Cricetulus griseus: one gene and its partners. The main gene of each other region encodes a partner of the protein of the gene in region 6 in a complex. Links are inferred from orthologs where the notes say so. Each region holds a gene or a part of one and is shown on either strand. Other genes may lie near its edges. The genes, in order: Map2k3, Mapk14, Akap13, Pkn1, Map3k20 and Nod2.

What was found.
Region 1: Nod2 (region 6) and Map2k3 share a complex: the UniProt entries of both Homo sapiens proteins name them as parts of the signaling complex. The link is inferred for Cricetulus griseus from reciprocal best matches to the Homo sapiens genes NOD2 and MAP2K3.
Region 2: Nod2 (region 6) and Mapk14 share a complex: the UniProt entries of both Homo sapiens proteins name them as parts of the signaling complex. The link is inferred for Cricetulus griseus from reciprocal best matches to the Homo sapiens genes NOD2 and MAPK14.
Region 3: Nod2 (region 6) and Akap13 share a complex: the UniProt entries of both Homo sapiens proteins name them as parts of the signaling complex. The link is inferred for Cricetulus griseus from reciprocal best matches to the Homo sapiens genes NOD2 and AKAP13.
Region 4: Nod2 (region 6) and Pkn1 share a complex: the UniProt entries of both Homo sapiens proteins name them as parts of the signaling complex. The link is inferred for Cricetulus griseus from reciprocal best matches to the Homo sapiens genes NOD2 and PKN1.
Region 5: Nod2 (region 6) and Map3k20 share a complex: the UniProt entries of both Homo sapiens proteins name them as parts of the signaling complex. The link is inferred for Cricetulus griseus from reciprocal best matches to the Homo sapiens genes NOD2 and MAP3K20.

The regions. Positions count from the first base shown.
Region 1 is NC_048600.1:74,919,638-74,923,855, reverse strand, and holds the start of Map2k3 (dual specificity mitogen-activated protein kinase kinase 3), read right to left. Parts: upstream 2,801-4,218; 5' UTR 2,628-2,800; coding exon 2,579-2,627; intron 1-2,578. UniProt on the Homo sapiens protein: Dual specificity kinase. Is activated by cytokines and environmental stress in vivo. Catalyzes the concomitant phosphorylation of a threonine and a tyrosine residue in the MAP kinase p38.
Region 2 is NW_023276806.1:233,801,765-233,805,780, reverse strand, and holds the start of Mapk14 (mitogen-activated protein kinase 14), read right to left. Parts: upstream 2,801-4,016; 5' UTR 2,630-2,800; coding exon 2,514-2,629; intron 1-2,513. UniProt on the Homo sapiens protein: Serine/threonine kinase which acts as an essential component of the MAP kinase signal transduction pathway.
Region 3 is NC_048596.1:121,744,965-121,748,464, forward strand, and holds part of Akap13 (A-kinase anchor protein 13), read right to left. Parts: intron 1,210-3,500; coding exon 1,082-1,209; intron 1-1,081. UniProt on the Homo sapiens protein: Scaffold protein that plays an important role in assembling signaling complexes downstream of several types of G protein-coupled receptors.
Region 4 is NC_048596.1:160,720,999-160,724,498, reverse strand, and holds part of Pkn1 (serine/threonine-protein kinase N1), read right to left. Parts: intron 520-3,500; coding exon 219-519; intron 1-218. UniProt on the Homo sapiens protein: PKC-related serine/threonine-protein kinase involved in various processes such as regulation of the intermediate filaments of the actin cytoskeleton, cell migration, tumor cell invasion and transcription regulation.
Region 5 is NC_048599.1:102,755,701-102,759,200, forward strand, and holds part of Map3k20 (mitogen-activated protein kinase kinase kinase 20), read right to left. Parts: intron 1,784-3,500; coding exon 1,753-1,783; intron 1,661-1,752; coding exon 1,521-1,660; intron 554-1,520; coding exon 491-553; intron 1-490. UniProt on the Homo sapiens protein: Stress-activated component of a protein kinase signal transduction cascade that promotes programmed cell death in response to various stress, such as ribosomal stress, osmotic shock and ionizing radiation.
Region 6 is NC_048596.1:164,271,256-164,275,191, forward strand, and holds the start of Nod2 (nucleotide-binding oligomerization domain-containing protein 2), read left to right. Parts: upstream 1-1,136; 5' UTR 1,137-1,208; coding exon 1,209-1,266; intron 1,267-3,469; exon of another isoform or gene 3,470-3,936. UniProt on the Homo sapiens protein: Pattern recognition receptor (PRR) that detects bacterial peptidoglycan fragments and other danger signals and plays an important role in gastrointestinal immunity.

The DNA of each region.
Region 1 (4,218 bases), on a different chromosome or scaffold from region 6:
ACATGGTAGAAGGCTGATCCACATGGCTGAATGAGAGAACTGACTCCCACAAAGTATATTTTGACTTCCAGAGAGGTCTCCATACATGTGCTATGCTGCGGCATGCATGTACCTATATACACATATATAAGTGTAATTTAAAGAAAAATTTATTTTAAGTCTTCTGCAAAGGTGGAAAAGAGTTCCTGCCAGGCAGGGTCATACTGGTGCAAACTCACCAGAGCCTGCACCTGCACCTTTGCATCTGTTGCAGGGTCACACTAATGGAAGCAACCACTGTTAAAAACTGCATGCACAATAGGTGGTCCTCTGCTTCAGGCAGCCTCCAGGTCTAGTAGGCATGGGGGTGATGGTCAGGATGACAGTGTCCCACTGCTCCCCTAAGCACCTTATACAGGAATGGCATGGAGGGAGCACTGGGGAGATCAGCTTATAGTCCTGCTGTAGCCATGCTCTGTCCATCACAGCTGTGTAGCCTCTGTAAATGGTTCGTGTCCCCGAGTTTCTGTTAATAGGCAAACGGGGCTATGGAGAATAAACAAGGCAATGTATAGCACGTGGTATAGCACAAAAAGCTTGGTAAGTGACAACTCAAAAGCTTTTGGTGAATGGATATTGTCATTCCACCATCACAGATGTCTCCAGACTCCCTAAAAGGCTACAAGGGATCCCGGGCCTTGGAGAGAGTCTCAACTTCCATCCAACCCACCCAATATCATGTTACCTAACCTACAATCTGCAAATTTATACTGGCCCTCTCAGAAGAAAGACCCAGAGAGTCCAGTGCCAGGCCTCAAGTCACCATGAGGGTGGACAGTATCCACAATCAATGCTTTGCTATGTCACCCACAATCTTTCTCCCTTGTAATCTACAACTGCAACTTTATTTTGATGTAGCATCTCTCGCCTGGAAGAACTGAAATGCCTCTAAAACAAACACTGCTTCCAACCCTTCCTGACTGGAGCAGCATCTAATTTCCTGGTTCTCAAGTTCCACGAGGTCTGCATGCAAGTCCCTCCCCAGCCACCTCCCCCAACAAGTGCCTCCCTAGTTACTCACAGAAGTTGGGCAATGGTCAGGGATCTGGCCTCCCACTTATGTAAGATGCAATTACCCCGCCCACTGGGCTCCTGCACAGCCATGGAAGCCAGCTGCAGGGGACTGGAAAGGCCCCCGCCTGCCCAGGACAGCCTGCCCAAGACCAGGACTCCTGAGGTCGAGGTTTCCTAGGTCAGAAGGAGAAAAGGCCACTACTGCCCCAGCATCCTCTAAATGTCTGCCATTCCTATCATCTCTGCTCTGCAGCTGCAATCCAAAGCTGGGCCCCAACCCCACAGGGCTGAACCTTTCCAGCTGGAAACAGCCAACTTTTTCCCCTGTGTACCTACTATGTGCCTGGTGCTACGATGGGTTCTTGGTCATCTCGACCATGATTGCTTCAAACCACCCTACATTTAATCTCCCATCACACCCCAGGTATCCGTTTCATTAATAAGGCCTAGATGTGTCAAGAGACTGGCCAGGTGAGGCAGTGGCAGGTTCAGAATGCAGAGAGTCAACCTATTCACAGCTGTAGGTCCAGTTTGGAACTCTCTTTTCTGCAGCCCAACCTACTTAGTCTCTGACATGTCAAAAACACGTTCCTCTCTTCCTGGAAAAAGAAAGAAAGAAAGAAAGAAAGAAAGAAAGAAAGAAAGAAAGAAAGAAAGAAAGAGAAAAGAAACAGTCTTGCCTTCCAAGTCTTGTCCCCCTCACTTCCCATGACAAATGCTGCTGCTTCTGCAGCCCACGCAGCATCACTGCCACCTCACAGAAATTTCCAAGAAAGCCAGTTAGTTACTTGGAGACAAGTCCCAGCCTTGTACAGTTAGCCCCTGGCCTAGCAGCAAGCCCAAGTACCAAACACCGGTTCTGAAGGCAGCAGACCAAGAAACAGTAGGTGCAGGAAGAGGTCGGCTCCTAAGTGCAGTTAGAAGACTGCAACTGAGTCAACGAGCAGCAGGTAGCATGGGCTGAGCTGCGAAGTGGAGCCGCCAGGAAGTTCTACAGAGACAGCCTCAGGGAGGAGTGCAGGCGGCCAGTGTGCAAGCCAGCAAGGCATGGGCCAAGGAGGGCTCACAAGAACGGATGGAGCTGGAGGAGAGGAGGAGTTCTGAGTTCAAGACTAGGCAGGTTTCCGGCATTGGGAACACAGCCCGGGGGCCCAGAGGAGAGTAAATTGCAGCCTGGACACAATCCAGGAGCCTGGCCTGAAGGGGCTGGTGCAGCCCAAGGACCCTCTAGCAGGCAATCAGTGAAATCCTGGCTAAGTTCAGGATGCAGCCCGGAAGCCTAAACGAGGAGCTCACGATTACGCTCCAGACTTGGAGCGGGGTAGAGAACGAGATCCTGCCTGGGTGCAGTCCCACGGCCTAAGATCCGGATTCCAGTGAGGTCCCGCGAGGTCCCGGGCTCGGGCTGGATCCAGTCCTGGGCTGGAGTGCCATTGCCTGTGCCCGGCCCGGAAGGGAGTCCAGTGTCCCGGATGGGCTCGAACTGAGTGTGGCTCGGGCCGCGCGGTAGGGCGGGAGCGCCTACCTTTGGTCTGAGGCAAGCTGGCCGGTGGACTCGCGGCGGGAGACTCCATGCTGTGGACGGTCGCGGTGGAGAGCACTAATCTAGAGGACAGCAGACTACACCGAGGCCGGGCGCGCTCATGGCTGCTGGCGGCAGGCGGCGGACGATAGGCGATAGGGAGCAGAGAAGCGACGGTAGCAAGCGTCCGAGGCGGGCGGCGCCACAGCCACACTGGGCAGCGGCGGACGCCGGCCGACGGCGCCACGCAGACCCCGCCCCTCGCGCCGATTGGCCTACCTGAAAAGGCCCTTGCCTATCAGACGCCGACCGGACTGTCACGCACAAGCTCCACCCTCCGGGAGCCGGAATCCAACCCTGCTTTCCCCTAGTCCGGTCCGGCTCCGCCCTCTTGCCTATCAAGATGACAGCCCTACCCATTCGCGGTATGGTGCTGGCGCGGTCCTGGATACCCCAGCCTGTGCCCCCCTACGGCACAGCGTGTGCCGGTCGTAATCTGGAAAATCTCAAGCTCTCTAGGATAGTCGGACCGGGCCGATGCGGCTGGTAGGGTGCTCCTGGAAAATTGCTCCTGGAATGAGACTGGACTCCTAAGTGGCTGCGCCGTTCCAAGGGTGAGCGTCATGTGCTTCTCCCCTTTAGAGAGCTGCGACCTCGGGCCTGCCTCCTAGGGCAGCAGGGGAAACGAGATCCCGCGGCGGCGCGTGCCAGGTGAGTGCTGACCAACTGTGGGAAAGAGTTCACCGCGCCTTGCGGAGCGCACACGCGTTTAAGTCCGTGTGGCGGCTGCAGCCAAGAGCACCTGACACGCCGGCTCTTAAGGAGCACCCGGATTCAGCTGCTACCTGGCAGTGCCTAGTAACAAAGTAACTTTTTGTGTTGTAACATTATAGCGGCGCTATTCCTAGGGGTTAGGGGTAGTCTCCGATAAAAAGGTGTCATTCCAAACATTGAAATACCTTTGGCCAACCTTGAGTGGGGTTCCATCTCCGCGGTCAGTCGCTGAGCCTCTGTCCTCACACTAACCAGGAGTCTCTGGGATCGGATGGAAAGCCGGGCGGGCGGCCGTAGTGAGGGCAAGAAGCACAAGGTCAAGGAATCAGTCGCAGCCTGAGTGAGTCTTAGCTCTCTGGCCAGCACTCAGGGCACCAATGCCTTGTTTGCATACTTGGTTTCTACCGCACCCCTCCTCCCGTGCCACCCGCCTCCCCCCATTAGGAATTCCCAATTAGGAATCCTGACTGTCTCATCCCCTGCACTATCCCAAGGCTTAGCCCAGAGCCACGCACATAGTAGGTTCCTAAGAACTATTTGAGGAATGAGCAGAGGAAGTAGGAAAGCATGCCACAGACATGGGTAAAGTGATTCTAGTCCCGTGCCAGCCTCCTGGGCACCAGGGTGACTCAGACAAGGTCCTCAAACAGGAGGAGTTTAATGGGTTAGTCAGACAACTTGACAAACAGCCCAGGAATCACAAACTCCATGTGGGGTGCTATAAATAGATGCAAGAGTCCTAAGAGGAGGCTCTACCTCACCTGGGTGGGGTCAAGGAAGGTGACCTTCATGGACTAGTAGCCAGACAGAGAAGTAAGAGACCATCCTTGGATGAATAGAGAAGCCAGCCCCAGGGAGTGGAGCTGCTC
Region 2 (4,016 bases), on a different chromosome or scaffold from region 6:
GAAATGATTCAGTGGTCAGTGCTCCTGTAGAGGACCCAGGTTCAATTCCCATCACCCACATGGCAGCTCACAACTGTCTGTAACTCCAGTTCCAGGGTCTCCATGGCACCAAGCATTCATGGGGTGCACATATATGTGTGTAAGCAAAATACCCACACATATATAAAATAAATAAATCCTCAAAAAAAAAAAAACCCAGCTTCAAATAACTTGAGAGAGTTATTTGCTCAGTCATCATGTACAATTTCAGCTGTCTTTTCCCCCATCGACAGGTTATAGGCTACACCTTACATCTCTGGTACAAACTCTTCGTCTCTGAAAAAGACATGCAAGGAACCGAATAGCGGTTGTCACTGAAGGAAGAGAAAACAGGGCTGGGGAACAGAAACAGAAGGCTTCCTGCTGCATACCTTTTTACATTTTATACATAATGAGTTGCTAATGAGTTGCTTTGTGTTGTTTGTGTATTGCTGGGGATGGAATGCAGGGCCTCCCATATGCAAGACCAGGGGCTGTAGTATGAGTTACATCACTGGTCCTGTATCACATACTTTTTTTGGTTTTTCAAGACCAAGACAGGGTTTCTCTGTGTAGCTTTGGAGCCTATCCTGGCACTCGCTCTGGAGACCAGGCTGGCCTCGAACTCACAGAGATCCGCCTGCCTCAGCCTCCCCAGTGCTGGGATTAAAGGTGTGTGCCACCACCGCCCTGCCCTGTATCACCTACTTTTAAGAAGCTGTTTGGTACAAGTCCTTTCCAACTGTGAGGTGGTGCTGAATTCTATTTCATAGAAAAGAACAGCACCAGAGGAAGTGAGCGTAGTTTTAATGGCACTTCACCACTGAACTTCATTGCAAACCTGGCTCTTCGGCCAGGACAGCAGTGTCCATAGGAAACCTTGCAAGTTCACCCACCCAGATGGCCTACAGTGGAGATACTCTGTTTCACCACTCCCTGAACATTCAAATGGAAAGCAAAGCCTGATACTCTAACAATTAGGAATGACGGACTGAGGTATGCTAATGAGCTATTAAATATTAGAGAATGAAGATAACAGTCGCAAATACACATGACAGATGTGTGAACTGCCATTCTGTAGACATGGGAGAAAGACGTCAGGGTTGGTGCCATCTGCAACATAACTTAAGCAGCTTGCGCCAACAAATGCAATATGATCTGTTGCTGGACACTATTGCACAATCTCAATTACCCAGAAGGTTCTACCAAACAGGAAATTCATGGTGTGACTTTAAGTAACACAGGACTCATACCTAAAGATTAACACATGCAGAACCCTGGAATTTGTTACAAAACAAACCATTTCACAAACCTTCGAAAACAGGAGTGTATATAAATTACTAAAGCACGTGAAGAGCTAAGCTGTTGAACCTCAAGAACCAGAGCTCTAAGAAGACACTAAGCCTAAAAGACACTGTATGAACCCTGGAGAGTTCCTAATCACTTCTGGAGTGGATATTTTATAGTATGGATTTAATTTGAAACCCACTCCCAGGGCCTTGCAAAGGTGGTAAAAGCCTTTATTCCAGGCCAGCCAGAAGAGTGAAGTTCAGGGCAGCCAGGGACATACAAAGTCTCAAATGAACAACAAAGAATCAAGAATCACGGTGTGAATGACAGCTGAGAAACATTGTTTCCTTTGCTCTCACCAAAGCCACGTCCCTCAGCCCTGGGAAAAAAAAAAAAAAAGCAAGCTGATAGCGCGCCCCTACAAATCTTCAAAGGGACTTAAAGAAAAGCATCCCAGGAATTATTTCAACTAAAAAGCTATTTACACCTCCGATCACTTGATCTGGAGTCCCTGTGGCCCGCATGGGAAAACTGATTTGTGGAGCAACACTGAAATGAGCAGTGGTGTGTGACTAAGCGGCGAGCGGTGGCGTCCTTGCAGGCGCTGCCACCCTCCCGCCCCGAAAAGGAAATACGCTTTCAACCGAATCGGAAACACAGCACGCAAGCTGGCACCGCGCTCGCCGAGATAAAGTCAGCATTCTAGGCTCTTCGGGGTGCTGCTAATTCATGTGCTAATTCCCAAAGAACGCTTCCGGAGCCAGATTTGTCCCCCCTCCAGATGGAGTCTTGCAAGAAAAAGGAAAAAACAAAAACAAAAATCCGGGAAGGGAGCGCTTTTTTTTTTTTTTTCTTGCAAGTTTCGTTCCGGTGACCGCAGTCGCGGGGTCAGGCTGTGTGCCCTGCCGCTCCTCGCAGAGGCTCCGCCCGGCTGGCTCGCCCGCTCTCCCGGGGCTGCGGGGCTGCGGAGGGAGCCCGGGAGGGGCGCAGGGTGGAGCCCGCGCGGCTGCACCCGGGTGGGTGAGTGAGGGGTGCAGGGCCCGGCCGGGGCAGAATTCCTGCCGCTGGGCGCATCGCGGAGCCGCGGGCACAGGCCGGGCCTCAGGCTCGCACGCTCGCACGCACGGAGGCTCGCACGCAGGCACGCAGGCAGGGCCGCCCCGCCGGCTCCGGCGTCCCCGGACCCCAGGCCCGGCGACACTCACCACACCGAGCCGTAGGCGCCCGAGCCCACCGGGGACAGGTTCTGGTAGCGCTCGGGCACCTCCCAGATGGTCTTGTTCAGCTCCTGCCGGTAGAACGTGGGCCTCTCCTGAGACATCTTCCAGCGGCGGCCGGGGCCGCTGCCTGCAGCCGCACGCTGTCTGTCCTCGGCGCTCGCCCGCCGCTCGCCCGCCGCTCGCCCGCGCGGGGCTGGCTGGACGCCGCGGCCCCTGTCAGAGCCGCGGGCACGCGCGGGAGCCGGCTGTGCGGCTCGAGGCTGCTCCCGCCGCTGCGCTGCAGCCGCGCCGCGCCGACGCCGCACGACTCCCGCTCGCAGCGCTGCAGCGCCGCCCGCCCGCCCGGGCTCCCGTGGGCTGGCTCCGGCCGCCGCGCTCCTCCCGGCAACGACCGGAGCCTCTCGCGGAAGTCTCGCGAGAACAACGCCCCGTCCCGCCCGCGCCCACGGCCCCGCCCCGTCCGACCGCCCCGCCCCGCCCCGCCGGGATCTTACCCAATACGGAACCCGCCCGTGGGAGGGGCCGCTGCGAGCGCGCCGGAGGCGGCGCCTCTCGCGAGAACACGGAGCGGGCGGGGCTGGCAGGGCTTCGGGGCAGGGGCTCTCGGAGGAGGAGCGCGGGGAGGATGGAGAGGACGGAGGAGGAGCGCGGGGAGGAGCGCGGGGCGGACGGGAGAGAGGAGCGCGCGGAGGAGCGCGGGGCGGAGGAGGACGGGGAGGAGGAGCGCGGGGAGGAGCGCGGGGCGGACGGAGAGGAGGAGCGCGGGGAGGAGCGCGGGGAGGAGCGCGGGGCGGACGGAGAGGAGGAGCGCGGGGAGGAGCGCGGGGAGGAGCGCGGGGCGGACGGGGAGGGCGCAGCGCGTGCCGCGCGCGCCTCGCTGTGGTCGGCTGGGCGAGCGCTGGCGCCAGGGCGGCAAAGCTGCCGGCCCCTGGCTGCCCAGGGACGGACGGACGGACAGACGGACGGACTGATGGACGGACGCTCGCTGCCCCTGCCCCGGAGCCCAGGCCGCCCCTCCAGACGCCCAGGAGCCCCCTTCAGTTTTCTCAGGCTGAAGAGCCGCCCTGGACGTTTCAGAAGCAAATTCCAGGGGCCGGGCCGGCCGGGCTCGGGGCCTGCGTAGCATTTGCGAGGTCCTGGGTTCGATTCCTGTGCTGGAAGGGACAGGGACGTATGTACCCATGCGCGCACACACATGCACACACACACACACACATGCACACACACACGTATGCGCGCACACAATGCACACACACGTATGCACGCACACACATGCACACACCACACACACACACATGCGCGCGCACATGCACACACAGACACACACGCGCGCGCACATGCACACACAGACACGCACACGTGCGCGCACACACGTGCACACACACGCACACACACGTATGCGCGCACACACATGCACCACATGCTCACACACACCACACGTATGTGCGCACACACATGCACACACACATGCTGGTAGGTCATTGTATT
Region 3 (3,500 bases), about 43 Mb from region 6:
ATTTGTAATGACTATATGGCCCAAACATTCCAATACTAGGTACACAAAAACATGTCTATGTAATGTGTCCGTGTGTATCCACAGAAGCCCTATGATTTCTAACAGCTCCAAACATAAAGCATTCCAAAATACAGACCTTATTTACAATGGTATTTCTTTACAATGAAGTGCTATCTGGCAATAATTAATGATGCAACAAAATACTATGCTAAGTCAGTAAAGCCAGCCAGCATGAGCACATGCTCTATAATTCCACTTATATGAAGTTCAAGAAAAGTCAAATGTCTAGAAAGAGAAATCAGATTGCTGACTGCCAGCAGGTTAGTGGAATGAAGAAAGACAGGGCAGATTGCTAATGGGCACTGGGTTTTTGAGATGATGTCATCACAAGGACATAAACAAGTCAGGCTGGATAGAAGTCTCAGTGGTTAAAAGCATTGAATGCTCTTCTGATGTCCTGTCTTCCGGGCTCTCTGACTATTGCACACACATGGTACACAGACAGACAAGAGAGCAAAACAAACATACACATGAATAAATCTCAAAAATTAAAATATAGGTAGTGGTGGTTATACAATTTTATAAATATAAAGAGCTACCAACCATATTTCATTTGAATTGTGGTTTTGCTAATGTATAAATCCTCACGAAACTGCTAAGGAAATATTTACTCAGCTTTTTCCTTTGCTAATGATATTCTCCATATTTTATACACTTTATGATGACCTTCACAATGAAGACATAAAGAACAAGTCGTGTTCAATAATGTGCATGGATGCCCCTTGGGGTAAATTCTTGTTGTGTCACTGAAAATTTGCCGACCAGTTTCAAAGTCTTGTGCTCACAGGAAAAATGTTTTTATTGTAATCTCCAAAGGATTCATGTAGGGAAGACGATTCCAAAGCTTTGATGACACCAACACAAGTTTAACAAAAACATACCCTTTGTTTCAAAAGCAGGACAAGAAAGAAAGGGTAAAAACCATTGATCTATCCCATCCTATCACAAAAACTATGGCCGTAGATCACACAAGCAGGCCAAGCTGAAATACTGTCCATACAGGTCTGCAGATGCCACTTACCGCCTGGGTCTCAGGGCCTTGTTTCATTTTGGGTGTGGTAGTTCCATTTCCTAGAGCCTCCTCCTCAGAAGGAGCTCTGGTCTTACTCAGAGAATCCACTTCATCTTCAGCTTTAGTGTCTGGCATTTCTGAAGAGAATATGGGTTATTCAGAGAGAGTACATTCGATTAAAAAAAAAAAAAAGGAGGTTCCTATGTGCTTTAGTATTTACACAACAAATTCAGGTTTCATCTGTTTTGTTTGTTTTTCCATGCAATGGCAGGAGCTGGTGCCATTTATGACCCCACACTGAGCTCCTATACTTATCACATGGTCTGTGACTGGTTCCCAGCCTCTAAATGAGCTTAGAGTTAAAGGACATTCAACTCATTGTCTACTGAGTGTCCGTTTCATTAATGACTTTGAAAAGCTACAAAAATGCATGTGACAGTAAATTAATAAACTACAAGGGTGCAGATTAATATATTAAATAAGGCAGTACATTTTGGACACCATTATAGCAAAATTTATTTGTATAGAGAAAATGGAAAGCTACTGAAAATGGCTTTCAAGACCAGAATCACTTAAAACATATATTACAAACCCTGTTCTACACCATTAATTTAATCAATAAGACTAGACAATTTCAGCAAGTTATTTTTGAACTATAGTTTTTCCAAAAGCAAAATTGAGTAAAGAATCTAATATTCATTTCTGTCTGGAAAAACAAAACAAAACAAAGTTTTTAAAATTTTTCTGTTGTTGTTTTAGTATTAAATAATCTGTCCCCATACTGACCATGCTCTTAACAGACTCAACAATAATAGTTTCTCTTACCCGGCCACCACATGGTCATGCAAAAGCAGGAAGTGATAATAATGATGTTCAAGACAAATTTAGACTTCTGACACTTCTTTAAAGGGAAAATATTGATTGAATAGTCGAAATTACCTTAATATATATTACATATAATATATTATATATAATATAAATGGAAAGTCTGCCTCATTTCCATTTGCTTGTTAAAGTAGCAGTGGTACTACTCTGGCAATAAAAACAATCCCCATCTGAAAGACTGAAGTTTCTCTCATTGAATAATAAATCACATTAAGATTCATTCACACTAACAACATCTGTGATTCTCTAGAGACCTTCGATTGGGAAAGTCACATTCCTAACAAGAGAACATTTATAATTCCTTGTCCTGTCTTTTCTTTTGTAATTATACAATATTACTAGCAATTTAAAATAGGTATCCAAGTTTGCTTGTCCAGAGAATTAAAATCTGTTAGCTTTAGTAAATCAAGTTTTATTTAAAAAGAAAAAAAAAAAAACAAAACTGAAGTAATCCCTTTACAAAAATCCCAAGGAAAAACATTTCTAAGAGACAGAGAGTAACTGTGTATGTGAAGGAAGATATGGTTTTTATTGTATCCTGGAATGTGATTTTTAGCATTAACCTCAACTTTCCTATATGCAATCAACAGAAAATATGGACCAGCTACAACCGTAAACATTGATTACTGAGACTCTGCAAGATTAGCTTGGTTTGGTCAAGCACCTTCTGAGTACAGTGATCAATCAATGCTTTCTGTGAGGCAAAGGTCACATTCCCTCTTTTATCAGGCTCCTCCCAAATCAACAGCTAAACCTGACCCATAAAAGAATCCATGAATGGAATGCAACCTTCACAAAAATACCCCTGGCTATGAGATCACACTCAGGTGCTTTTTTCTAGCACAATGTAACCAGGGACTTTCCTCGACCCTGGCTATTTCAAAGAAAGTACTCAATTTCTTCACTGGTTACTTTTTTTGTAGTTGAGCACCAGCCCTGTTATGAGTCCTTTTGGTAACAAAACAAGTAACCCACCTATACAAAATACAACCAACCCCCAATTTTCAAAACTTTCTTCTTCAAAATTTCGCACCATTTCTTAGTATCTTTACTATAGTTGTATATACTTAAAATCATGTCTAAGATTCTGCCAGTTTTTCTTTTTTCTTACCTTTTCTGATCCAGTGATACAGACACAAGCTTCATAGTTCACAGTTGCTAGGGTCAAATTGTGACCACAGAACAAGAAGGAGAAATAATTCCACCCAGGGTGGCCAAGGACAGAGCACCAAAAGAAAGGAAAACAGCCAGGCATCAACTTACAGCCACTCCCAAGCTTCTGAAATGTCAACCTGCCAAGGCCCCCAAAATAGACCTGTCATGGTGCCTTGTCTTAAGAATTAGAGACCTCATTTCAATGTTGAGACAGACGTCAACCTAAAACAGCACTAAATTTAAAAACCTGAAGTCCCTAAAAGTCCCACCTTAGCTTCTTAAAATCACTTAACCACAGCTGGAAGTTGGACTTTAAAACAGGCAAAAGCCCTTCATCCGGGCCTAGGCATTGTATTTAAATCCTGTCATCCCAAAGAATTTATTTTTG
Region 4 (3,500 bases), about 3.6 Mb from region 6:
TCTTTAGTGTTCGTTGGCATGTGCATCTAGGTATTCCTAATGCCAAAGACAGCTTTGGGTGGGATCTGGGAATAGGTGTGACCATGTGTTTCTCTAGGTGTTAGTGGCCATGCGAGTCTGGCATTTGCCATGGCTTTTGTTGACACAGGACAGTATCTTGATGGAGTAAAGCTCCAGAAAGTCAGTGGACCCTGCCTGCTCCCAAGCTTTCTGCTCACCACTCCCGGCTGCAGGGTCAGGAAGCACCACATGTGCATGCAGCTCCTGCAGCTGCTGGTGCAGCAAGTCAAGCCGTCGAGCAGAGCCCCGCAGCAGCAGCTCCACAGGGCCCAGGCTGCGGCCCAGGTCGGTGGTGGCTCGCCTCAGGTTCTCAGCGCCCTCCTTCAGCTTCAGCTCCTTGCGGATCTCCCGCCTGAGCCGCTCTCTTTCCAGCTCCAGCCGCTGCTGCACGCCGGGGGCCGCCAGGTCAGCCCCCGCCAGGCCCATCTGCTCCAGCAGCGACCAGCTGCGAGGCTCGCTCTGCAGGGGAAGACACCAGGCACAGAGGTCAGGGGCCAGAGGACAGGTGGCCTCACCAGGGCACAGTTCACCTGACCTACCACCCTACCCTACTGCACCCTAAAATTCCAAGGACAGGGGCTGCTCCTCCTCCCTGACCCACACAAATGGTAATATCTGGGCTAGAGAGATGGTTCAGGAGGTAAAAGCTCTTGCTGCCAAGCCTGGTAACCCTGAGTTCACCCCCTAGAGATCTACATGATGGAAAAAGAAAACCAACTCCTGAATGCTGTCCTCTGATCTCCACTACACTCACACACAGAAATAAATAAATAGGCGGCTGGAGAAATGGCTCTGTTAAAAGCACGTATTGCTCTTACAGAGACTCAATTCCGTTCAAGCCTCTAGTTCTGGATCTAGGGGGACTGGATTCCTCTGGCCTCTGCAGGCACTGATGTGCATGTGTACATAACCCTAAAGACACACATGCATAATAATAATATAAATAAATAATAAATAAATAAATAAATAAATAAGCCAGGTGGTGGTGGCGCACACCCTCAATCCCACCACTCGGGAGGCAGAGGCAGGAGCATCTCTGTGAGTTCCAGACCAGCCTGGTCTACAGGCGAGTTCCAGGAAAGCCTCCAAAGCTACAGAGAAACCCTGTCTCAAAAAACCAAAACTAAATAATAAATAAATAGAAGGTCAAAGAATAGGCCAAAAACAAGGCCTCCTTCCTCCCAGTTGCACTGACCAGGCTCGCCACAGGTGGGCCCTATCTCCCTTAATTTGTGACCTATGCAATGGGATTCTGGCAGGAAGACTCCAAAAGACCCCTTTTTTCTTCCAGTTTCCTGCACTCCTAACCAGGAGGTTCCAAGGGCAAGCTACATGTTTCTTTTGCCATACTCCAAAACCAGGAGAACCTTAGAAACATATCCTGACTTCTCTGATCTGCATTCCCAAACTGGGAGATCCCAAGGGCCAGCCCTGCCTTCCTGTCTTCTCTATCTGGTACTCCAAAGACGGCGCTCATCTCCTCCCACATCTCCCAAACCAGAGAGCTGATGTGGCACCCAAAAGTTAGAGAACTAACTTGTGCCCCATCTCCTTCCTACCCTTAGTCCCCAACTGAAAGGTACCCTCAGCTTCTGTCTCTAGGGGTCTCCTTCTGCCCATCCTATGGAGACCTAGCCCCTACCTCCAGATCCAGATGCAAAGGGGAATCAGCCGCCATCTGGGTCCTGGGTCTGGTCTGAGGGCCACGCCCTCTTCCTGAACCTCAGCCCTGCCAGGGCCTCTGGACTGCCACTTCCTCTTTCCTGCCAGCTCCCAGCATCCTCTGCGCCAGGGCAGCTCTAGGGCATGGGGTTTGTTGTTGTTGTTGTTGTAGTTTTATTGGGGGTTGTTTTGTTTTCTTTTTTTCTTTCTTTTTTTTTTGAAACAGGGTCTCTCTATGTAGCCCCGGCTGTCCTAGAATTGACTATGGAGACCAGGGTGGTCTGAAACTTACAGAGATCTGCCTGCCTTTGCCTCCTGGGTTCTGGGATTAAAGGCATGTGCCATGTAAGAGGTTCTTCCCACATCACCCCCTAAATGGCCATGCTTGCTTCTCTGGAGGCAAGCCAGGGACAGGTAGCCCTTAATTCCTGGCCTGAGAGAACACCCTGGATATACACACCCACAGTTGTATGTAGCAGACAGGATCTCATGTGGTACACAGCATATGTGTGAACCAAAGATAGGCTCATAGGTACGATCACATTTCCAGTTTTGCAGGTGTGAGATTTGCTCACAGGCTCACACATGCACACACATAAGCTCATATATATGTATACCCTTGTCATAGCTAGCTTCAGCTGTCAACTTGACAAACCTATGAAGAGGGAACCTCAACTGAGGGGTTGCCTCTGTCTGACTGGCCTGTGGGCATGCCTATGAGACATTTTCTTAATTGCTAACTGATGTAGGAGATCCCAGCCCTCTGTGGGCAGTGCCATCCCTGGCAGGTGGGCCTGGCCTGTGTAAGAAAGGAGCTGAGTAAGCCAGAGGAAGTGGGCCAGTAAGCAATACTCCTCTGTGGTTTTGTTTTAAGCTCCTGTCTTGATCTCCAGCCCTGACTTCACTCCATGGAGGACTATAATTTCTAAGACCAAATAAACCCACAGACAGGTGTAAGGGTAAGCGGACAGCCATGAGTGCTAGTTTGAGCCCTCCATAAGCTTCTCTCTCTCTCTCTCTCTCTCTCTCTCTCTCTCTCTCTCTCTCTCTCTCTCTCTCTGTCATTGCCCATGTCCCCACAGCAGCCCTGAGGCCCTCAGTCATGCTACTGCCTATTCATGTCTTGTCCCTTGTCCCCAACTTCCCCTTAAGAATCAGAACAGTCAGTGCTGTAGTAGAGGGTGTGTGTGTGTGTGTGTGTGTGTGTGTGTGTGTGTGTGTGTGTGTGTGTGTGTGTATTTGTGCAGCTTCCTGTAGACAGGCAGCATCAACTTCCTGTTTCTCCCTACCCAGATGTCCACCACGGCTGATCTCAGCTTGGGAGCCTAGGGGGCCCACCTGCCTTAACAGTAGCTCCCTGAAGTTCACTCCAGGAGAAGACAGCCCTGAGTGGCCCCAAATAGGAGACCACACTTGTTTGCCAAATATACACTAAATCTGAACTATCAGTGGTACAGTTAAAACGTATCAGGGACAAGGTATATATGAAAACATTCTATTTTCCATTGGATTTTACTGTGAACCTAAAACTGCTCTAAAACAAAAACATTTTTAAAAATAGTAGGAGTGTTGTTGGACAGATGGTTCAGCAGTTAAGTGCTCACACTGCTCTTCCAAAGGACCTGAGTTCAGGTCCTAGTAGCAGTGCCTGTAACTTCAGTTCCAGGTGGATCTGATGATGGCTCTGGCTTCTTCGGGTATATGTACATACCCCCCAATATACATCATTAAAAACAATAAAATCAATAAAAGTAGTAGTAACAGCAGTGGGTGAAGTT
Region 5 (3,500 bases), on a different chromosome or scaffold from region 6:
ACAGGCATGTTTGCACAGGAAAAGGCAGTATACATAGGGTTTGGTGCTAATCTCAGTTTCAGGCATCTGCAGGGGGTGCTGGGATGTATTCCCATGGACAAGGAGGGGCACTGCTATTTAGTGTTCTATTTAAATAACACTCCCTACCCCTCCACCCCGAGGGAAAGTGGCAACCCAGAGCTCTGGTGTGTGGCTTTTTTTTTAGTAACTTAAAGGCCTCTAGAACCAGGCATGAGGCCAGAGGCCTTCACCTACAATCTTAGTGGGGGGTACTATTCTTATCTTGAATGTGTTGTTAATATTTCAAAGCGTGGGGAACAAATGTGTGTAATTTATACAGATCACAGTCGTCAAAGGGTCTTTTGTTGGACAGAAGTAATTACATTTCACTTCAAACAACAGTCCCAGACATTAGCGAAGTCGGGTGTGGATGTGGCAGGTGCGTATGCCAATAAAAGCAGCGAGCCGTCAGTGAGGAAACCTCACTCACCTTAATTAGTGGTGGGAAGTGAAACAGGTTCAGGTAATCGTGGGCCAGCTTCTCGATAGCTGACTGTAAGGAGAAAAATCACGTGACTTTATTAATGCTTTGATGATACCAAAGATGATTAAAATTACTGAGCATACAAAATAAAGGACTTTATGTAGTTTATAGAACATCTTGGGGGATGTTAACCTCTATCAGTGGTTAAGCATATGTAGACATGGTAGTTGGCCATCACTGAAAGGACAGGAGACTAGAGACAGATGGTAAAGCTCCACCCATCTATTTCCTGACCCCATCGGTAAGGCCTGTTAGGCCCCTATTAGTGTGCTTGGGCCACACTAATAGTCAACTCAGCTCCCGGATGCAACTATGAAGGGTTTCCTGGCCCTGAAGTCCCTGCCCACAGTTCTCTTGGTGCCAGTAGGTAAGCAGTCTCCAGACCACCAGACCTGAGGCCACACTCCTACTTAACCAACTAATCCCAAATGGGCAAAGTTCCAGGCTCCTTCAGGACTTCTCATGAATGTCTGGCCCCTCCAGCTGTAAGTGGGCTAAGCGGCCTCGGCTAGTCCTGGGTGTGGTAACCGCTCTCTAGGTGTGACCTTACCTTAGTTGCAGTCCTCGGGCCCACTGAGCTTCCTCCTGCCCCAGGCCTTTCCTCTGGCAATGCTTCTCCCTCACATGACTCCTCCTCCAGTGCAATGCCATCACCTGCCTAATGTCCCTTCCAGAAGCCTGCCCTTAGCCCAGCCCTGTCTCCTCTGTGGCATCTCTCAGAGGTGTCATTGCACACCATTTTCCCCCTAGACTAGAGGCTTCCTGGCAATACAGAGGTGTTACACCATTGTATCCAGGTAACCGCTGTGGGATTTTAAGGTGGGAACAGGGCAGTGCAGGTGTGGCAACTAGTTAGGGACAAGCCTGGAGGTATTTCAGCACCGAATGTCCCATACCGTGATGCTTTCATCTCTATTTGCCCACACATGGCTCACCATACCACACATTGATTTATTGACACTCTCCCACCGGGTACCTTAAAATGGATGATGTGCCCCTTGGAGACAATGCCCATGTCTTTCAAATCTTCCTCATCCAAAAGCAGCAACCGCTTGCCTGTGATGTTGTTTTCCTTAAACAAGCTTGCATACCCACTCATCTCTACTGAAGAGTCACCTGGGAGAGAAGTGCAGAAGGCAGGAAATGAGGATAAATCATAGCCCGACAAAGTTAACTCTGTAAATACGAAGGTAATTTATTTCACTTGCCTTTTCTGACGAGCTGCTGAACCCAAAAATACTGCGAAGAGAGGACACACATGGTTCGGGAGGGTCACATACAGGCAGTAGCCATTCTCAACAAGAAAACAGTTTCCAATAGATTCAGATGTCTTTAACTTAGCCACAAGGGAGAGATGAAAGAGTTCTCTTTGGAGTTTAAAGCCTCAAGCTCTCAAATTGGAGATATTCTTCCCGTAGGGGGCATTGGGCAGTTGAGAGACTTCCTTGAGCGAAAGTGTACATCTTTCCTAGAGGAGCTCCTATAGTGACTTTTCCATTATACATGCAGGTAGACTGCTACCATACTTATTTCAGGAACTGCACGAGTAACAAGGACCACCCAGAAGTGGACATAGAGATGGACAGGATGACGACTCCCATTAGCTTGTTCGGCCATGGCAGCCATTTGGGGGCCATGCAAAAGATGGTACTTTCTGTGTCGAGTGAGGTGGTTACACCTAGGGGTCCCTTGTCCTTGTATATATCATTTGGCACCTGTTTACCAGTGACCTAACATTACCCTGGTGAAGACACACAGAGAAGAGGCCAGACTCAGTCACTCTGGTTCCCTGGGTCCCTAGACAATGGACTTTTAGCTGAATGGCATGTGAGCCACTTAACCTTGCAGCAAAGACTAAAAATAGCTCCCAGAACTCAGTTGTTTCAAATCACTTTCCTTTCAAAGGAGATGGACCACCCTTGTAGCTGGGGAGGAAGCAATTACATACAGGGCCAGGGCTGGCAAGAGGCTCAGCTTCTAGTGTTCAAGGAAGGGGAGAAACAGGAAGCTGGCTTCTTTGCTTTGTGGGACCCACGCAGCTGCCTAAAGCAGCAAGAAACTCACTTCATAAAAAAAACAAAGGGCAGAGGGGGCACACCCCAGCCCCACACCAGGCTGACGTCTAGAACAGGTCTCCTGGAATTCCTAATCATGACTTTTCCTTGAGACTCCTTGGGGTGTCTGTCTCCCTAGGGTGGAGCACATCCTTGCTAGAACTAGCTAGCATTTCATCTTTATTTTCTTCTGCATTTAATGATGCCCTTGAGCTTATAAAATGGATCTGGACAGGCGAGGGTCCCTGAAGTCTCTCATCAGCAGTTCTCAAAATTGTTTTGCCATTAAGGAAGCAGATATGGAGAGAGAACTGGCTACCCGGGATTGCTCCTCAGGGAGTCTACCCAGAGCTGCATGGAGCCTTCCTGCAGACTTAAGTATCATGCCTCCTGGGATGTAAGATTATGGGGCATACTCTGTCCATTCCTCTCGGGGAAGGCCAGAGTAAGGAAGGCAGTTAGGCATCTTGTCAGTTAATGAGCGGGCCTGAGGTGGGAGGGGAACCTGTGCAGGGAACTCCAGCCCGTTATGGTCTCTCTCCTGTATGCTCAAGTCTACCACTGGTGTTGTAGAGAAGTTTAAGAATTGAATTTTTTTCAAGTATGTGTACTTGTCATTCTGAATCATAGCTTTTATCCTGCTATTGATATACTACTATATTCTGGAGTGTGTGTGTGTGTGTGTGTGTATACTCTCTCTCTCTCTCTCTCTCTATATATATATATATGCATATATATACATACATATATATACATATATACATATATATATGTACATGGAGTATATGTATATAGAAATTATAAAATATAGTATAGCTTTTATCTTGCCATTGGCATTACTATATTCTGGAGTATTTTCACAGCCAGTTATGAAGATGAAACCCTCATAAGATTTGAAGAGC
Region 6 (3,936 bases):
AATAGAAACAAAACAACACTATTGAATTCTGATTAGGATGATGGTAGAGCCCAGCACTGTGTGGGAGGCAAGTGCTAATATGCTGTGACCTCCTCTCCTCAGCTTGCATGGGACTGACGGCCAAGGGGAAGAGAGTAACTTTAAAGTCCTAGTAAGTCTCCACCCAGCACAGCCATCTGGGAATGCAACCATCAAGACTAAAGGGCTTACAGATCCCTGGGAGGGTGCATCGGTTCCTGCTGACAGGGAGGGCTTTCCTGTCTCTTGTTCTCGGGACTCTATGGTTCCCTCCTAATTGGAAGGTGGCCCAGAAAGCCGGCCACACAAGGGCAGGATACACTGCACCGCAGGCAGGCTTCTTCCAAGATACCTGTCTTACCACCTGTCCCCAGAGGGAAATCAGGAGGGGTGTGGCCGCCCTTCCGAATCCGCCACAGTGGGCGGGGTCACTGGCTAAGTAGGTGGAACGACGGGCGGGGCAAGATCACGGAGGGAGTCACCACCAGGCGGGCGGAGGAACCCCGCGCTGCAGCTGGCGGTGAGTGCTTGCCTGCTGCTTCTGTGGTCTGCGGGTGCTCGGGGTGGTGGGTGGGTGGGTGAAAAGAGGTTTTCTGGGGGCAGACTTAGTGCTCCGGGGGGGGGGAGGGGTCGGGCTCGGTGTGGTGGAGAACACGAGCGCCTAATGTCCCATCCCTATGATGGTGTTAACTGGCTCTGCGCTTCCTTCCAGAAGGAACTGTTTCCCTGTGGAATCATCAGCAGAATAGATAGGCTGTAGAAGGAAAGGGGCTTCTCGAGAGGGGACCCGTGTCAGACTGTGGTCACTGAAGATGAAGAGGTTTAGGGCACGGGAAGCCCATTGAGGCCCCAGGATCCTTTGAAGTCTAAGGGGAGGCTGAGGTTTGGGGGTGGCTGGGACAGTGGAGGTGAAAACTTGCAGGTGAGGTCCTTACCCAGAAGGAGGAAATCCTGCTTTGGGTCGCAGGAGGAGCCATTCCTGGCACAGTTGTCCCCTCTCCGTGGGCCTCAGTTTCTCTGTCTTTGGTCTTCAGAGACCCCAGCTGCTGCTCCCTGATCCTTGCAGGTGTCTCCTGCCTGTCCTTACTCATTTGTAAGTGTGGGAGCTGGGGCCAAAAGCTGTTTCTGCCTGGAGAGACCCACGGCCACCTGCCCAGTGCCAGCTCAGCTTTCAAGCTTGATCCTCTCTTATGCTTCTCAAGTCATTGGTGCCTCTATGTCTGGACAAGCTAGCTCCCAAGCCTCTGGGTAGGTCTGTAGCTGGTTGAAACTCTCATGGCTGTTTTTTTTTTTTTTTTTTTTTTTTTTTTTTTGTTGTTGTTCTTTTTTTTCAGATCCTGCAGGGTCCTGGCCTGGGGCAGGCTGTTGGCTTTCCTGCCCTAGGGGGAGTATGATCTCCCCCTAGGGCCAGGGTTCTGCAGGGTCAGAAAAGCTGGCTCCATCAGCCACCTCTGCCCAATTGGGGAAAAGACCAAGTGACAGCTCTGTTGCTTCTCTTCCAGTCAGTCTGTTGTGAGGCTATTGGAGGCCCTGGTTTCTTGGCCATTTGATGCCAGGTGGTCTCCACATGCAGCTCCAAGCTGGCACTGGCCCACACTTTGCCCCTCTCTCTCACCCAGGTCAGCACTCACTGTGGCCCAGTGAGCAGGCACTTCCTACTAGCCCATTGGCTAAAGTCTGTGCCTTGTAATGGCTACTCTCTGGTTCCACAGCTACCTCCCCAAGCTGTGTGGAATAAAGACATTCTCATTCATTCAGACCAGTCTATTCACAGGGTGAGGCACAGGGTCCAGAGAGGAGCTCCAGCAGTGTATCATGATAATGCTTGCCATGGCAGATGATGAAAAGGACTGTGGGGAGAAAATGCTGGGACAGGGCTTGGGGACCACAGTTCTACATAGCATAGGAAGGCCCCTCTGAGACAGTGGCCACTGAACAAAATCTTAAGGAGGTGATGGGCAAGTCATGTGACTATCTGTGGGACAGAGAGTGCCCTGTGAGCATAAAGCTTAGGCAAAGGCAGGAGCACCACAGACCAGAGCAGGCTCCCTTGTTCTGAGAGTGAGGAAGCAGGTGAGGGGCTACAGCAGGGTGGGAGTCAATGGAGGCTAGGAGGAAAGGGGTGGAAGTTGAGGTCTCTTGTATTGAGCTTGAGGTTGCTATAAAGGCTTTTGGCTTTCGCTTTGACTATGATGAGATCCACTAGTGGGCTGGGCTGTGAACAGATAAGGTCTCTGCTCTGACTTAAGATCTGGCAGGTTCATCTAGTTGTGTGACTAACATTGACCTATAGGGGGTCATGGCAGATGAAGGAACCATGAGAAGGCTTCAGGGCTTATGTTGTGGTATAGAGAGAGGTGGAGAGAGAAACTGTGGCTTTCAGATTTGGGGTCTGTTGAAGGCTGGGTGGATGGTCTGTGATGCCCGAGAGCGGCAGAGTCAAGGATGACTCTGGCAGTTTGGGGCCACTTTCAGTTGAGAAAGGAGCTAGCTGTTAGGAGGAAGGTCCAGTGATTGAGTTGTTTGGAGATGCTGGTAGGTACCACATGATGTTGAATGTTGTCCAGAACTGTCAGTGACATTTCAGGCATCACTGCCACATAGTTGGGAATTTAAGCCTGTGGGGAGGTGGGCTTATGTGGGGAGAGAGTGGCTCAGAGAAGTGGCAGTGATTCAGTTCGGCGGCAGTACAGAGGTGTGTTATCAGCCTTGGAGGCAGAATGGCTAGAAAGAGTAGCTAGCATGTGGGAAGGAAGGTCAGAGAAATCCTTCATGGCCTCAAGAGACGTGCTCCAGGGAGGAGAGTGAACAGGTAGAACAAAAGTCCTTGTCAGAAAGGAAGACCAGGAACAGAAGGCCAAATACTGGAAGTCATGGTTTGCATTTTCACTTGTAATGGTTGTGGGGTGGGGGGGAAGGATGAAGGGAGGACTGGGAAGTTCAGGCCTAGACAAGGGAGGGCAGAAATGAAGGATGAATTAGTTTGTTTGTTCTATGATGGGAACTGATGTCCTGGGGAGCAACTCAGTGGAGATGGAGAGTGGGGTTAGTGCCCCAGGGAAAGCTTGGCCAGCCAGGACCAGGACACTCTTCTGGGGACCTCCCTTCCTCTCCCATCTGCTGGAGGCCTGGGACACTGCAAGGATTGTTCAGCTCTCAAACAAATCCTCAGCTGGGAACTTCAAGGAAAACCAGGCTGCCTATGATCCTGGGAAGGAAGGAGGTGCTGGGGCACAGGCGTGTGCATGAGCACGTGTGTGTGTGTGTGTGTGTGTGTGTGTGTGTGTGTGTGTGTGTTTGGGGGCTTGGGGATGAGAGGGGCTTTTTTTCATTTTTATTTTTACTTTTAATTTTTTTTGGTTTTTTGAGACAGGGTTTCTCTGCGGCTTTGGAGGCTGTCCTGGAACTAGCTCTTGTAGGCTCACTTCAAACTCACAGAGATCTGCTTGCCTCTGCCTCCTGAGTGCTGGGATTAAAGGCATGTGCCACCACCACCTGGCTGAGAGGGGCCTCTGTAGATACCCTTGACCCTCTGTTTCAGCAAGCTGGTGCCCCCTTTGTTTGGGTTCCGTCTTGCAGAGCCTAAGAGTGACTCCAAGGTGGCCCTAGCTGGATAGAGAAGAAAAGGCAGGGAAGCAGAACAGCCTGTTTAACCTGGAGAGGACGAGTCTGACTGAGTAGGAAGGTGCAGGAACAGGATACTAGACCAGCTTTTATGAAACAGGTGACAAGAGCATCTATCGTTTTGCTTTTTCTTCCAAATTTAGCCGAACAAGATAAACTAATGAAGGACTCCTCAGCTGGTCAGGACGATAGTATCAACCCCAGGTCTTCTTTTCCAGCTGCTTAAGATGAGATAGAAAGATGGCCTACTCAGAGGCAGGGGACTGGCAGAATAGGTCTGTGGGGCTATGCCTT